2 linked regions of the Oreochromis niloticus genome follow. The protein of the gene in region 1 interacts with the protein of each later gene in a pairwise test. Links are inferred from orthologs where the notes say so. Each region holds a gene or a part of one and is shown on either strand. Other genes may lie near its edges. The genes, in order: aldh16a1 and dera.

What was found.
Region 2: the proteins of aldh16a1 (region 1) and dera interact in binary tests that used the Homo sapiens proteins (3 or more experiments, as listed by UniProt). The link is inferred for Oreochromis niloticus from reciprocal best matches to the Homo sapiens genes ALDH16A1 and DERA.

What each region holds. Positions count from the first base shown.
Region 1 is NC_031969.2:6,234,589-6,242,854, reverse strand, and holds the start of aldh16a1 (aldehyde dehydrogenase family 16 member A1), read left to right. Parts: upstream 1-5,224; 5' UTR 5,225-5,432; coding exon 5,433-5,522; intron 5,523-6,873; coding exon 6,874-6,973; intron 6,974-7,102; coding exon 7,103-7,229; intron 7,230-7,324; coding exon 7,325-7,482; intron 7,483-7,578; coding exon 7,579-7,656; intron 7,657-8,266. Other genes in the region: histone acetyltransferase KAT7, read right to left, coding at 915-1,115, 2,091-2,235, 3,776-3,790.
Region 2 is NC_031981.2:586,741-594,479, forward strand, and holds the start of dera (deoxyribose-phosphate aldolase), read left to right. Parts: upstream 1-4,707; 5' UTR 4,708-4,771; coding exon 4,772-4,865; intron 4,866-7,739. UniProt on the Homo sapiens protein: Catalyzes a reversible aldol reaction between acetaldehyde and D-glyceraldehyde 3-phosphate to generate 2-deoxy-D-ribose 5-phosphate. Participates in stress granule (SG) assembly.

The sequences.
Region 1 (8,266 bases):
CCAAAAGTTGATTCTGTTCATCTGGACGTAGCGTTTTCAGTGGGAGAAACGTTTCGTCACTCATCCAAGTGACTTCTTCAGTCTCAGCTGACTGCAGGTTTCCCCAATGTTATAAACAGTACATTAGCATAATGACTGAAACCAGCCCACTGAAGGAACAATGCGCAACAACCTCCAGACCCATTGTTCCTTCAGTGGGCTGGTTTCACTCATGTCATGTCCATATTTTTTCATTTTTCAGACCTGGGTCACTCCAATATCAAATCATCCATTTTTTAAGAACAGTTTCTGCTCCACCACCACTAATTGGCATCACACGTTTGAATGTCCAGTATATAACGTTTGATATATGAAGCTAAAATAAACAACCTAATAACCTTTTGCAAACCAAATCTGTCTACAGGTACAAATAAAGTAACCTGATCCTGCAGATGATCATCTCCTGCATCCGCTGAAGTTAGATAACGGTTCCTGGTGTCTATGAAGTAATTCATTCGTCTCAGTGACAAAGCACAAGCCCAGGATATCTACTGATAGATATTAGTCATATTATAAGCAGGAACACACTGTGATCACAGACAGGCCTCGTGACATCAGCTGAATGGCATCACGATGTCAAATGGAAAAACAATTCTCCCTCTCCTCTCCGCTGCACCTTCATGTTCTTCCTTCTTTTCTTTTGTCCTCTTGCTTTTCTAACACTCTCGTTCTCAGCCTGTCCTGTTTCTTTCTCTCCCTGAACCCCTCCTTCCAGTTTTTTCTCATTCATGAGAATATTCCCAATCTCTTACTGCAAATTCATCATCTAACTGGCACGAGGGCAATGACCAAGCTCAACTTTTAATGAGAAAAAATGTTTAGAGCATCTCTGAGGAATGAGACAGTTCTGATTTCTAGTATTGTACCAATCATACCGTGAGCCTCTGTATCAGAGCCGGACGACCTGCTCTGCCGTAGTGGGTATTTTTTGGCTGTGGTGTTTGCCGCCCCCTGCTGGCTGCGTGTGACCCTGCGCCCGGAGGAGAAGACTGATGCTGCAACAGCTGTTGGCGCTGACTCTACGGCTGAGTCCAGAGCTTCATCAGGACCCACAGTTACAGGAGAGCTGCAGTTATCTACAAAAGAAAGGGGAAGTGTTGAAGTGTTTTATTTACTGCAGTAAAATGACTTAAGAGGCCTTTCAGTGGACTACTCAACCAACTCATTAATCAACAGAAGAGTGATCACCAGTTACTTCATAATTTGATTTTCAAGCATTAAAATGAAAGGTTCTGCCAAACCATGAAAAAATGCTGTTGGAGCCCTGAGTGGACTCTGCTCCTCTTCCAAGAAGAAACTTGACTGGAAATGACTGATTTCGTAAAATGTGTAAGTAGTTTGTCAGTGGCTGAATCCAAACGAAAAAGTTAAAAGAAAACCGTTCAATCCACTTCATTTTTGCAGATAAACAGTCTCTTTGCTGTTTCTGTGTGCGTGTGCGTGTGTGTGTGTGTGTGTGTGTGGGGGGGGGGGGGGGGGGGGGAATATACAAGGAAAGAGTAGCCAACTCTCCTTGACAAAAAGCAGAGGAAACAGTGTCAGCCTCTGTTTTAAATCTCCTCTGATAGCCAGAGCAAAACGAGGTCACCCGGGGGTGGGAGTGTGCGTGATTGTGTGTGTGTGAGAGATGAGGGAGATCAGTCTGTCTAAAGCCATTCATCCTCTATGGCTGCCCATATACAATAGCTATGTCTAAACCAGTGTAGTGAGGAGGGTTTAAAGTCTCAGGCTGGACTCTGAATGAATGCATCTTTAATTTATATTACTTATAGAGACAAAATTACACAGCATGTAGACATGCTTGGATTCTTATGCTTCCAGAACACCCAAAAGCTACACAGTAACCTAAAGAATGTGAAAAGGATAGATGTAATAAGCTAAAGTTTCTGTCTGCACCTTTATCTCAACAAGTTATGTTTTTTCCATTTCATGCAACTTTTTTTTTTTTTTGGTCAGTTTTTTTTGTGCAAACCTTTGGCTCGAAATTTGTTAACGGTGACTAAAGTGATCTCTCTTCTAATTAGTATTTCTGTCCAAATGTGAATGTTTACCTTGTGAACTTTGGCTGAGTCGCAGAGACGCGCGAGTCAAGCGTGTGCTGCTGCGTCTGTGCACAATCTCAGCAGTTTCAGCATGCTCGACATCAGCGGAGAAGTCCGAGTCCTCCGTCCCGTCCGAGCTGCTGCCAGCGGTCCTCTGGGAAAGCAGCAGTTAGAAGTTAGAAGCAATCTGTTAGAAGCAACAACTATGGACGGCCAACACAACCACATGTGACAAAGTTACTTTTTTTTCTCTTCACCAGAGGATAATCCAACAAAGATCCCATTCTGGGGGAGGAGCATCACCCCCTTCAAATCTCCTCCAGCACTGCACCCCCTCTTCCCACCAAGGACTTGTAAATACTCCAGATAAGCCTAATACCAGTATCACCACGGGAGGTCCGGACAGCTAATCTATTGTACCAAGCACAACCTATAACAACTGGGTTTGTTTAGAAGTCCAGCTGATTTCTTCAAATCAGCACGCTTGCAGGTTAGCTAATAAGCATAATGAATGGACTGTTGTTTTATTCTGACAATTCACACTAGACTAATTAGGCAGTGAGGGCTGTCAATCATTGCACAAACAAAACAAAAAAAACAAAAACAAAAAAAACAAAACAAACAAACAAAAACAAACACAAAAAGTATGAAAACAGGATCAAACAATGTGTACATTTCTCTCTGTTTAATTCATTACAACCATTATTATCGTCACAGTATTTATTTAGTTACATTTCTAACTTATGTTAAATGAAATGTAGAAACAGTGACCACTTTGTTGCATTCAGTTCCCATTCTTTTCTCATTTTTTTTGCTAACTATTTATGAAAACAAATGAACAGTTACAGACTTTGATAAAAATAGAACGGTACAGGCAGATCCAGGCCAATGTGGTTATCCTGCTTTATGGACGTTAGCGTAACATCAATAAAATAATAGTAAAAACATATTATTAGGCTAACTAATTGTCTTTTAATAATAATGTGAATTTATAACAATGTAAGTTGAATCACTTTTTAAAACTCACAGAGCCAAAAAGAAACCCAAAGATCAGAAACAACATCAGTACAGCACGGGCTATTACCGCAAACCATGTTTGACAACTTCATAACAAGAGGCTGCGCGCACAATTTGCATACGACCAATTAAATTAAAAAGGAGGCGGGCGTTAGAAAATGCGAATCAATGAACGCGACGCTTGTCAGGCGTCCGTCCAATCACAGCTGTTGTTTTGGTGCGGGCGCCCGTTCCTCCTCGCACCCAAAGAACTGCCTATTGCTTTTTCATCAGTAAGCTAAAGCTGCTGCTACCTAAAGTGTGTTCGGGATTCCCACTGTACCAATCAGCCGTTACAAATGTGAACAAAGTTACCAGCATGTTTAAAACTCTTCTTTGGGTACCAGAAAGAAGCGACGCTTCAAAAACAACATATTCTTGCAACTCAGCAATATGAGCCTGAGCTAGCTTAGCCATATAGCAGCAGCAGATCGACAGCTCACTTATGCGATTCTATTAGCACTGATATTCTACGAATGCTACAAGCCGTTCACTTCGTCTTGTAGGAACGCGTTTTAGCTTGCAGCCCCCGTAAGTTGCTTCCCACACAGTTTGTTTTCTTTTACCTCTACGTCGGCTAACATTAGCTATGACGTTATGTTGTTGTTTATCTGCATTAATGGTTGAGTCTGCCTCACCTTTCTCCGGGGCATTTTTCAAAGATCTGCCGTAACGCCTCTGGCGGATTATTATCCCGTGCTGTGGCAATTTATGGCAGCCTTTTGAAACTGTAACAACGAAAAAATAACCACCAGCTGACATGAGCCAACCCAGCTGAAAAAAAGCGCATAAAATTCTCCGCACTTCCTAGTGAGGACAGCGCAAACTCGCTCTTTTTGGGCGGTACAGTGACAAAATGACTCCGGGGGGAAACATACACCTTCAAATCACGCTACTATGGTGCATTAAGATTTTTGCAGCCAAAAGTAATGAGTAGTCATGATAAAAGCAATAAACAAATGTAAAAAAATAAAATAAAAAATAGCCGTTTAAAGTAATGGCTGCGCTAGTCAAAACTAATAACGTTGTTATAGGTGTGGACCACTAAAAGCACCAAAACACGATGCGTGTTTAAACCAAATTTGTAGTGTGGCTATAAATCTTTTAACTGGAGGAAGCCTTCAAAACAGCAGACAACACAATTACACATGTACTTTTTTTTTTTTTTAAGTGATTTAAGTTTAAAATTTAACACCATAACGTCCTAAGACTTGTGGTGAGTCACATTTATCATTCAAAATCACGTTTTGTTTTAAAATTAAATTATTTGTTTTATTTAGCTATATGACAGACTGGACAGGTGACCGAATGAATGCGTTACCGGTGTTGTACCAAAAAGTGATCGCCTGGCAAAAAGTGATTCCCAATGTGTGTGTGTGTGTGTGTGTTTTAAATGTGTAATGTCTTTACGTATGTTGGTAAATCGACTTCGGTGAACAGGGTTTACAAAGGGGATAAATATAAAATTTAAAAATTACGTTTGTCAAGTATCTTTATAACTCTGTGTTATTGTAAGCAATCCGGTTCTTTTTGTCCACTTAAAATATGTTTACAGAACTATTGTGATATTTTTTGCAATATCTGCTGTCCTCTTGGGCAGATTAATCTTTTAAAAAAAACAAAAACATTTTTATTGTCAACGAGATTTTTTTTAACTGGATAAATAAAGGATATATAAAAGTCATTGCCAAAAACTGATTACAGCTTCTGCCTTGTTACAAGAATTTTGTTTGTGGCTCAAGATGACTTGATATCAGTCATGAGGGGTACATTTGACATATGTTTCACATAGTACAGACCAACAAGTTATATATAGCAGTTTAAATAGGAGCAATCAGTTTTTGGCAAATACCGGAAATCGGTTTTTGGTAGACGATTATTTTTTGGCACAAAAAAAACGGAAATTAGGTTTTATTTTTGAAATTATGTCACACGCGTTATTACAATAATTTGTATGTGTTATACTAAAAAAAAACTAAAAACTGGTTTGATTGTGCTTTACGAAGTTAAAAAAGTTATTTGCCTTTTCTCAGTCTATCTGCGTTCAGGTGAACGCACACAATAGCGGAAGTCGGGAGGAGTGAATCATCTCGCTCTCACGTATCGATCTGCGCGTGTCCACAGAGCGAGCCCATACACTGTCAGCTCAGGGAGGCTAGCACGTTTCTTTCAGTGTCGGAGTGACACTCGACACCCTTCTGCCAGCTTTCTCTCTTCATATTCTTCCTAACTCCATCCAAGAACGACCACGCACAACGACGGCGAGATTTGCTCCCACAGTGGTTTCTTCTTATTATGGCTGTTAGCAGCACCAAGACAGTGTACGAGATTTTCCAAAGCATGGAGTACGGGCCAGCAGCAACTTCTAGCACTGCTACTGCACAGGTACAGATTACGGTCAGATTCGTAATAGGAGACTGCTTTAAAACTAAACTTCCTAACAGATACTAGCATGCTGTGCTGCGGAGTTAGTGGATACCTATATAGATTATTGGACTCGTGAAGTTCATTAACTGTTAGCCCAGTGTACTTCACAAGACAAACATGTGACATAACTAGACACATAATTACATTATAATGTGTCAAGGGATTACTGTTCATGTAGATTGTTTTTGTTTTTTGTTTTGTTTTTATGTCCGTATCCCACCGTAGTCCGTGAAAAACATTTTAGGGGTTTCCTCTTTTTACGTGAACTTGAAAAGAGTTTAAGAGGAACTTCTGCCAAATACCAAATGTAGAAGATGGGATCTCTCAATCGAGCTTTACCCCTCGTTCATAATGTCAGGTCTGCTAAAACTAAGTAAAATCAGGGATTGACCTCAGGTGGCTACTCCCACCTTCTGTGTACAGTCTATGATTGCTACACGCACATCTGCAAACAACTCTGTTAAAACAGCTGTGTAAAGGCTTTTGTGGTTCTGCAGGGACATTGAAGGTTTATAAAGAGTACTAAATTACTGGATAAGCACTCAAACCACTAACATGGTTTAATTTGACAGCCCACATCATGTAGAGCATGAGAGACCGTAGTACCAGTACCACGACTGAGTTAATACATACTGCTAAAAAATGCCATTGGTGCTTTGCAGAGAGTTGAGCTCTGTACTTTGGTCTTCAGTCTGTAAATAGCTGACACTCTTCACTTGGCCTACCCGCCTTTATCAGTCACTGTCATGTATATTGGTCTCTTCAACCAATAAAAGGTTTGTTGGGTTTTGGGTGCTGCTCATCTGCAGTCCATAATTTCACGAGTGTTCTAATAACAATGTCATCATGTTGTGGATTTTAAATTTTAGAGCGCGATAGACTGTAGTTTTCTTTTCTTATTTTCCAAATAATCCACATCTCTTATATCCAAATGCTTAGATTTGCAAAAGACGTTAGAAGGGCCTCCCCTTCTTTACCTGTAAGACATGAGATAACAGCTGGTCTGAGATGTTCAGTATCCTCATCCTCCTCTGTACTCATACAGGCACGGTTTGATAAAAGTGAAGCAAGATTTTTTTGGCTTTAATTCAAGGACTTTCATAAATCTGCAGTTTTCACAAAATCCAATTACTGTGTACCCATCTGCCAGAATGAAATGCACTTTGGTGGTGGGGTGTAGTTTTGGCTCGGCAGGCAGCTCAGGGTTCTCAAATGATAGTGAGCAAACACGAAAACTGAATCTGTGTGCAAGTGTTGGGCTCTCTGCTCTGGAGCTGATCCTTCGCCTGTTCCCTTTCTTCTTCATCAGGCCTGGCTGGAGCATCATTCCCGTTCTCTGGGTCTCTTCATTGATGGCAAATTTGTCTGTCCAGCGGACGGACGGAGCTGCTCCCTGGCTGATTCTAAAGGTGAGAGCAGCCCGAGTCCACATTTTATCATTTAGCTGATTCTGCAGAAGTTAAAACTTTGGCTTCAGACTTTTCACAAACATCCTAATGATGATGACGGTCACGGTGTTTTGCCTGCCTGCTCTCCAGGAAGTATTGTATGCAGCACAGCATGCGCCGAAGAAGCCGATATTTCCCAGTGTGCCTCCTCTGCTGTTAACGGTTTCAAGTCCTGGAGCAGCCTGAGCTGCAACCAAAGGGCCAAAGTGCTCTTGAGGTCCAACAAACACACCTTCATACACCTCACTGCTTCCTTTTTGAGCCACCAGTTTAACATAAAGATGAATTTCCCTGTCTGTCCTCCTCTAACAGGTTGGTGAGTGTCCTCGGGCAGCACGGCCAGTGTTTCTCAGAGTTATGTGAGCTCTGTGAGGCCTCCTGCTCCACCGCTGCCCTGGTCAGGCTGCTGCAGTTCTACAGCAGCTGGGCGCAGCTCAGAGACACACTCCTCACCGACTGGACACCTCTAGGTAAGTGAATTCAGCTATGTTTACAAAACGCTCTCAGTCTTTGTATTCTGTTGTTTTGTAATTTTATTTTTTTTTTATTTTTTTTTTGTCTTCCAGGTGTGGTGGCAGTGGTGACCTCGAAAGACTGTTCTCTCTATTCTCTTCTGCTCAAAGTCCTGCCAGCACTGGCTATGGGTAAAACACACACACCGATGTTTATAGCTGAACCCTAATCTGACTCCTAACATCAAATCTGAACACTCAGATGTTCTGAACATTTCAAATTATTCTTAATGCCTGAGTTTAAAAGTAAAAATAAGCACTCGAAATTCTTACATGTATGCCTCACATAAACTAAATAAACTGTATACCAGGGCTGTGATACAAAGGATATGATAAAAACTTTACTAAAGTATAATGTTATGGTATTGATAAAAACTAGAAAACATACCAAATATGTTAAACAGAAAAAATAAACAATTTAAATTTTTATTAGCTCAGTTATCAGAGTTGGGTCAGGACTAGAGCTGGGCGATATGGCCAAAACCCCATATCGCGGTAACAATATATATCGCGATATATTATTTTCTTCTGTACAGTATACAGTATGTTCCGCATTGTAAGGCAAACTTAAAATCCTTTAATTTTCTCAAAAATCGACAGTGTTCATTATAATCCGGTGCACCCTATGTATGAATTCTGGTTGTGCTTACTGACCTCGAACCGATTTTATGTGGTACATGGCGCTCAAAAATCTGTCAAAAAATGTTTCATTACGGCTACCGTAGTCAGGAGCCTCGCGGAT
Region 2 (7,739 bases), on another chromosome or scaffold:
CACACAGTCTACAGAAAGCAGAGATGAAATTCTGAGGCCGCCTAAGTGAAGGAATTAATTTTATTTTCCATTGAAATTTGATGTATTTTCAAAGTGTTCCTTTAACTTTTTTAAACAGTCTATTTAAAAATAAAATCAATCTCATTCTGAATCTTTACCTTTGAATTAGTGTTAAACTAGTTACATTCATTGAATTTAATTTACACTGGGGTGGCTGCAGCAGGTCATCTAACTGAAAGGTCGGAGGTTTGGGGAACATACTGAATCTTAGACAGGAGGTATTTAGTTGCAGGAAAAAGTGCTTGTGTGAATGGGTGAACGAGGCATGTTGAATAAAGCACTTTGCATGCTCAAGTAGTCATAAAATGCTATAGAAGAACTGAACTGTTATGTCTATAACTTCTGTTCCCTGAAGGAGAGGAACAAACGTGCCCCCATGTGTCCAGGCTGAAGTCTTTAAGGTGATCTGTGATATACTCAGGGGTGCACATAAGTGGTCCGCAGGTGCGCATTCGCTGTCAAAAGACGCGCACCAGATAAGAAGTTGCAGCGCGCGTTTGCTTACATATAAAAGGCACTGTTTTTGTCCGCTCGAGTGGGATTTTCACGGCATATTCTGCACCACATCTCTGTGCGTTCGTCATTTGTTTGAAGCCAGCTCACCTCCTGCAACCACTTTTCCGAGAATACACACTTCTTTTGCGGTTCGGACTCCTGACATTTCTTTGGAGGTGGAGGAACACCAAAGTAATTGCTTAAAGGAGCTTCTTCAACATCTTTAGGAGTTCTAAACAAATGTCTGTCCTCCTCTAGAAAATCTTATGTACGCAAACGCGTGTTGCAACTTCTTATCTGGTGCACGTCTTTTATTTTGACAGCGAATGCGTACCTGCGGACCACTTATGTGCACCCCTGGATATAGGTAAACCTGTGACCTGTGATGACAGATCTGCATGTCATCACAGTCATCCCTCAGTTTGGTAGCTGCTCTTCACCAAGCAGAGCAGGGAAACCTTGTGCTCTACTACATTCCTTTCCTTTAGGGAACAGAAGTTATAGACTTAACTGTTCGATCACTTTCAGTTGATTCACTATATTGTACATCACATATAGTATGGGACATATATAGACCTCCCACAGACCAGACACTGAGGTTGCCATTCTCACATCTTGGGGCAAAGCGAGACCTTTGGTGCTGTAGACGAATGAGCTTCTGTAATCCAGTGGGAGAGTGAGTCTCTGTTTAGACAGAGCTCTACCTCGGGCTGGATTTGCAAGGCAGGTCACACATTGCACATTCTGAGTGTGGTCAATGTAGGTATGTAGCACATGCAACAGACACACACAGTGGAAACTCCTCTGCTCCTCAGATGCAAAAGGAGAAAAGCAAAAGCTCAGAAGCTCAAATTCCACAGAGCTATAAGCTGCAGGAATAACCCTGGGTAAATATTAGAGATGGACCGATCCGATATTACGTATCGGTATCGGTCCGATACTGACCTAAATTACTGGATCGGATATCGGCGAAAAATAAAAAATGTAATCCGATCCATTAAATATCAAAAAAGCATCTCACAAAACTTGCGACACGGCGTAACTCGGCTCATAACCGTAGCACGTCGGAGCAGTGTGCTCACGTGATAGAGCGGCTGTGTGTATTTGTAGCCTCGCTACCAAACCAGCATTTCATCTCTGAGGAAGTTATCCCAGAGAGAAGTAAAGCAAGTGTGTAAGTTCATCTCTGAATGTTTGTAAAGCGTTCCCACGTTAAGCTTAACAACCGATATATGGAGCGACTGCCTCTCTCTCTCCCTCTCCTGCTGCTACTTCAATCATGAAACTGATCAATGATCAGCTGATCGGCTTTTCTGTTGCGACTCCCGTCTCTCTTGTTTGGACCAGAAAGAGGAAACCAGCGGCTGAACAACAGCAGCACGTTTAAGCTTGATAAGCTGTTGTTAGAATGTATTTAATATTACTTTCTACACCAGGATCCTTTTCTACGTAGCTGACGGCTGGTAACTGTGCAGGGGCGGATCTAGCAAAGTTTAGCCAGGGGGGCCGATAGGGCATGAACAGGGAAAAGGGGGGCACAAAGACATACTTTTCTTTCTTATTCTCATTTAAAATGTCTCGCTTTTAATAAATAATTATCTGAATCTTACACCCAAAATTTTAATCTGATGTAAAATGTATAGAAGTCCATTACTATATATAGTAACTCTTAAGTCTATATACCCTAGTAAGCTATAGTACTTTTTCCTTTGGGAAGGTTCCATCTATGAATTCTGCAATTCTGCTGAAGAAAGATGTTGAATCTATTTAATTATTCTTGAAAAATAATTTGTTTCTGTGCATTTTTTTTCACCCTGCATCAAATTAAAGTTGATTACATCGATTAAGCATCATGAGGTGAGAAGCAATGCAGTCTTATATGAAAGAAATGTCATATTCACAGAATCCATGAGTTCAAAGAGCGGGGGCCACAAAGGGCATCCAGCACCAAAGTCAAGGCCCATGAAGGGACGCTGGACCTAGCCCCTTACAAAATATGTATGGCAAGGACATGTGCACCTGGTGTCACCTCATCAAAGCCAATATGACGAGGATATGTAGCTGGTAAGAGAAGGTCTGGCCTCAGGGTCAGATGGCCTGGAGCATGAGCAGCTCTTAGAGGCAGAAAACAAACACTGCACCATAACAACAGGGAGTGAGACAGCTTTAACAGAGGAAAGGAGCGCATCCCTACCTGTTTATGTAAAAAACTGCTGTTGAAGACAACACCATGCAAAACAACACCCTCTCAGTCCAAGACCCTGGTGCAGAAGCCTGGACTCCCTCCAGGGACATCCAAGATCCGGTTACCCTCAGCCTCCCCCTGAGGTGACGCGATGCACACAGGCTGTGAGAGAGTGTCCACCACCATCTTTAACAGTCTGAGTGGCACTAAGCAATCGTTGATGCCATTGTGCCCAGTAACCATAACATTGTTTGGAAATGCCATCTGTGTCCCAGTTGAAACTGAGCGAGGCAGCAATAAAACGCGGCCCCTCTGTGGTCCGACTAATGTGTCCAGTCACAAATCGAAGAAAGAGATCTGGTGACTTGGGGTTAGTGAGCTCTTTTTAAAGTTCACTAAGAAACCCAGTGCCCGAATGTGTAACAGAACCAGCAAATGCAGGAATGCAAACCTCAGAAACTGCCTGGAGCTCAGGTGTCTAGCCATGTTAGATTGTCCTGTGGACCAAACACATTCAAAAGCTGTCTGACTGTTAGAACTGGAATGTTCGTAGATATTTGTTCAAGACTTGCAGGGCCCAAAGAACCTTCAGGATTGACTGTTTGCGGGCCAAAATCACACTTGCATGCCTCTAGTGTTTCCATACAGGCGGCATCTTGAAACTGTCATCACCAGCAAAAGCTTTTGTACGAAGTATTAAATCAATTTCAGTAGGCGTGTTTTAAACTTTTTACAAACGTGTGTCATTTCTCATTATTACACTTAATTTATGGACATCTATTGTTTGATTTCTTTGCATCCGTGGATTGGATGGGTTGTTACCAACCAACTCTGGTGAGAATTTAATATTAATAGCTCCTTTAGTAATATATTTACTTAAAAAACTGGTGATGCATTCAATACTTATTACGGAACAAAAATGAAATATAGTGGGAACACTTGACATGGTCACCTGAACATTTAACACACCTCAATTCCATCCATTCTCACAGCTAGGAGGACTGAGGCTTCTTCGTCCTGGGTGTTGGATCCTGCCAGGGCCCTGAAGGTGGGCCTTTGCTCTAAGCCGACTGGCATAGAACTCGACCTGGAGGCTGCGCTCTTATTGGTGGCGCACCCACAGCGGTGGCAGTGGGTGCCACTCTCTTATAAAATGAATTTAATACATGGAAAAAAATTTGAACAAGTGAAGCATCGTGAATACCTGAATGCACCGTACAAGTACTATATAAAGAAGTCTCGGTCGTTGTGTCCTTGGGCAAGACACTTCACCTACTGCCTACTGGTGTTGGCCAGAGGGGCCGATGGCGCGATATGGCAGCCTCGCCTCTGTCAGTCTGCCCCAGGGCAGCTGTGGCTACAACAGTAGCTTGCTTTCACCGGTGTATGAATGTGAGAGTGAATGAATAGTGGTATTGTAAAGTGCTTTGAGGGGTCCCGAAAAGCGCTATATAAATGCAATCCATTATTATTATTATTATTATTATTATTATTAAATATTCAGACCCTGAGAATCATTTTTTATATTTCCATCTCAATTCAGAATTTGCTTTGGGGGTTTTGAATTAATTTAGTTGTTTGATTTGAATATGTGTGACAAAATTAGGATTTATTTTGTGTATCCCATTCTGCAATTGAAACGTCATTAAAATCCTGCACTACACTGACATCTGGTGGAGGGTCAGGGAAACAGGAAAGGTAAATGAAAACTAGTTCCTGCCAGTGCTGCTTTTATTTTAAAAGTGTGCCTTTTATTTGTGTAGATGCATGTGCAGGTGAATCCTCATGTCGGATGCAATAAAAAAAGAAAGATTAATACCGTATGCCGCATTTCTAACAAGGCCTGGACTGTAAAATATTTATCTACAGAAAAAGCAAAAGCTGTGAGCTTAGTTTGCAGTTCACAGGTCGCTGCGTCATGAAAATACCGGAAGTTTCTTTTGTCACACACAAACTTCTACCCTCGTTGGCGTTTGACTTTCTAACGAAATGGGCGGAGAAGAACACATCCGGGCATTTTGAGCGCACTTCATGCGTATTTTGGGTGCGACTGATGACGAAGTTGACAAACGACAGCGTTCTCTGTCGCTAAACATGTCGCCCAGAAACCCGGGCACGACGCTCGGTAAGTAAACGCACGTACGGAGAGAATGTCCGCAGTAATAGTGCTCTCACGTTACCGTGACCCAATAACACGATTTGATTTTGTAACCAAGGAATATTAACTTCGTCGTGTTGCTTTGCGCAGGATTTCACGCTGAAACTTTGAATGTACGATGCAAAGTTACGACAGGTGAAGTCAGTGAAGCAGTTAGAGGTAACTGACCCTGAGAGCATGGATGTTACTGCACACTAACAAACGGAACCGGAACAGCGCAAAGGGAACGTTTTAATCCTGCTTTCCGACGTGTAACTAGGTTTTACTGACCAGTCATGTGACTGCTGGGTCTACTGTGTAATTGAATGCTCATGAGGTCTGATTAAGACTAAACACAGCACTGCAGTCTGCTGACAGTTTGTTTCGGACAAGAAAAAAGCACGTGGGTTTACCTCGTGACACTACAAAATTTAAAGAATGACAAAGTTGATTTATATTCTATATTTCGACAAATGTTCTGCTGTTATTATTCTTCCCACTCACTCTTCTGTGATTTGACGATGGTCACCTCAACATCTACACAGTACACTTTAAGTTACCTGAACTCAGAGTGGATGTTTGTCAGTCCAACCAGAGTCACCTGTGAGACACCTGCACCTGTACTCTAGTGTACTTGTAAGGGATTAGCACAGAGGTCGTATCTGGTGTATGAACATGAAAAAGCTGAAATCAGGTCAGAATGAATCCAGACGTGTCACAGGTTAACCTGGCTGTCACATTAACAGTTTGTGTGTTTTCTAACATTTGTTGAGCTGATGGAAAAGTTGCATCTGAAATTATGTGACACAAAAAACACATTACTCTTTATGCTCGCTGCTCTTCTGTAGTGCGACATGCTAAAGTAACATGAGGACAGCTTATAGACACCTGTACTCATTCTGGTGTTGAACCAGAAACACAAGCAGCCTACTTTAACACCTGACTATGGTGCTAGGGCTGCTCGATTATGGCAAAAATGATAATCACGATTATTTTCACTGAAATTGAGATCTCGATTATTTGACGATATTTATTTAACAATAACAATTATTCAACAATATTGAATAATGGCTTTAAAGATTGTCAAAAAATAATATAAAATAGTTTGCAAATACTGATAACAGTGCAAATGTTTGCAATATACAAAATAAATGAAAAATGTAAACATCTATGTTTAGTGAACTTCAAAATACTGCATAATATTTATGCATACAAATAACCAAACCTCAAGGCAAGCTGTGTAGCCGCACAATTGCATCAAACTGACACTGAGGTATGTCAATTTGTAGTGTCGGTCTGTGGTGCAGCTACAACACCGTAGCAAAGTTTACACATGTCTACTTGATCCACGTCTGACTCCGCGAACCCATAATGTTTCCACACCACTGAAGTTGTTTTATCTCTCTTTTCAACCAACGGCATTCTTTCTTTAGCAGCCATTATCCTCTCCTCTCCTCTCTAAATAACTTCTACTTAGCTTTCCGAGCTAAGTAGAAGTTAGCTCGGAAAGCTAACTTCTAGCTTTCCGAGAAGCTAGAAGCTTTATTGTTGTGATGCGTGTTCGAAACGCAGAGAGGTGCGCTCAATTTGCCACACGGAGCACCGCGAAAGTAAAGCACGAGGGAGGTGCTAATAATCGGCTCAGTCATTCTTAATGATCGTTGAAAGCCCAGATCGTAATCGAGATTAAAATTCGATTAATTGAGCAGCCCTATATGGTGCTATACATTACGCATACATTTCATTGTCTTGCCTCTTTCATCTCTTTGTATTTGATAGGCCCTTGTGACTGACAGACCATTTACTGCAGGGCTCGCAAAATTTCAAAATCCCTGGTAGCCCTTCGGGCAGGCACTCTTCAGTTTTTGGTAGCCCAAAATAAATTTAAGTAGCCCGAATAAAAAAGAGAGCAATTTTTTAATGTTTTGTTTCCTTTACAATATTATACATTAAAGTATAATATTGTAACGGAAACAAAAATTAATCAGAAAATTGTTAAATACAAATCACAACAACTGTATAAAAATTACAATCATCAACTCAAATACTTGTTTCTAATTGAACAGAAATTTCTATGAACTTGTAAGAACTGTAGAACATGAATCAGTCTGTGTCAGATCCTCAATCTGAAATTTCCACTGAAGTCAAGGGTAAGGGGTAAGTGGAACCAAGATCGAGGCCATTTGCTTTTTGAAGTTTGCAAAACTGCTAAATTTGGCCAATGGTAGTTCACTCTTTGCAACATAGTACGCTTTTGAAAGATTTTTCAGGACTTCTGCTTGTGCTTGGTTTATTTTTAGTATGTTTTTTGCAATTGCTGTTTGTTCTGGGAAAGATATTGCAGACTGGGTGTTACGGCCCTAGCTGGGCCTCCTGAAACTGCCCTTGTGTGGGCGTGGTGTTTTTCTCCGCCTCCTCCTCTCTTGCCACTCCTACCCCCTCTGTTTCTCTCACTCTCCTCTCTCCCCAGGACACAGCTGCTTTTGATTAGCCTCGTTTGCAGTATAATGCATTTCTTGCATTTCTCATGGGTTCTGATGGGGTCTTTCTTAAAATTACTGGTCCCAGTAACAAAGGCGCTTGTCGACTCAAATGAAATGAAACTCACGACACACCTGGCAGAACATCATGTTATTTAGCTCGTCATATTCCAGCCACATAAATTCTTTTGTCCATGAAACCAAAAAAGCTGAGCTTTCTTTTTGCCTCATAGTCTGATTTGTCATAACTTTTCCGTTTTGTGGTCGGCTTTTCATTGGCTGCCCCTTCTTCACCCTGACCTGTCTTATTTGGCTCAGCAGAACTAAAATACCGGCGTAAATCCTGCTGCTTTTACACACGTACTTACATAACGGTCAGCAA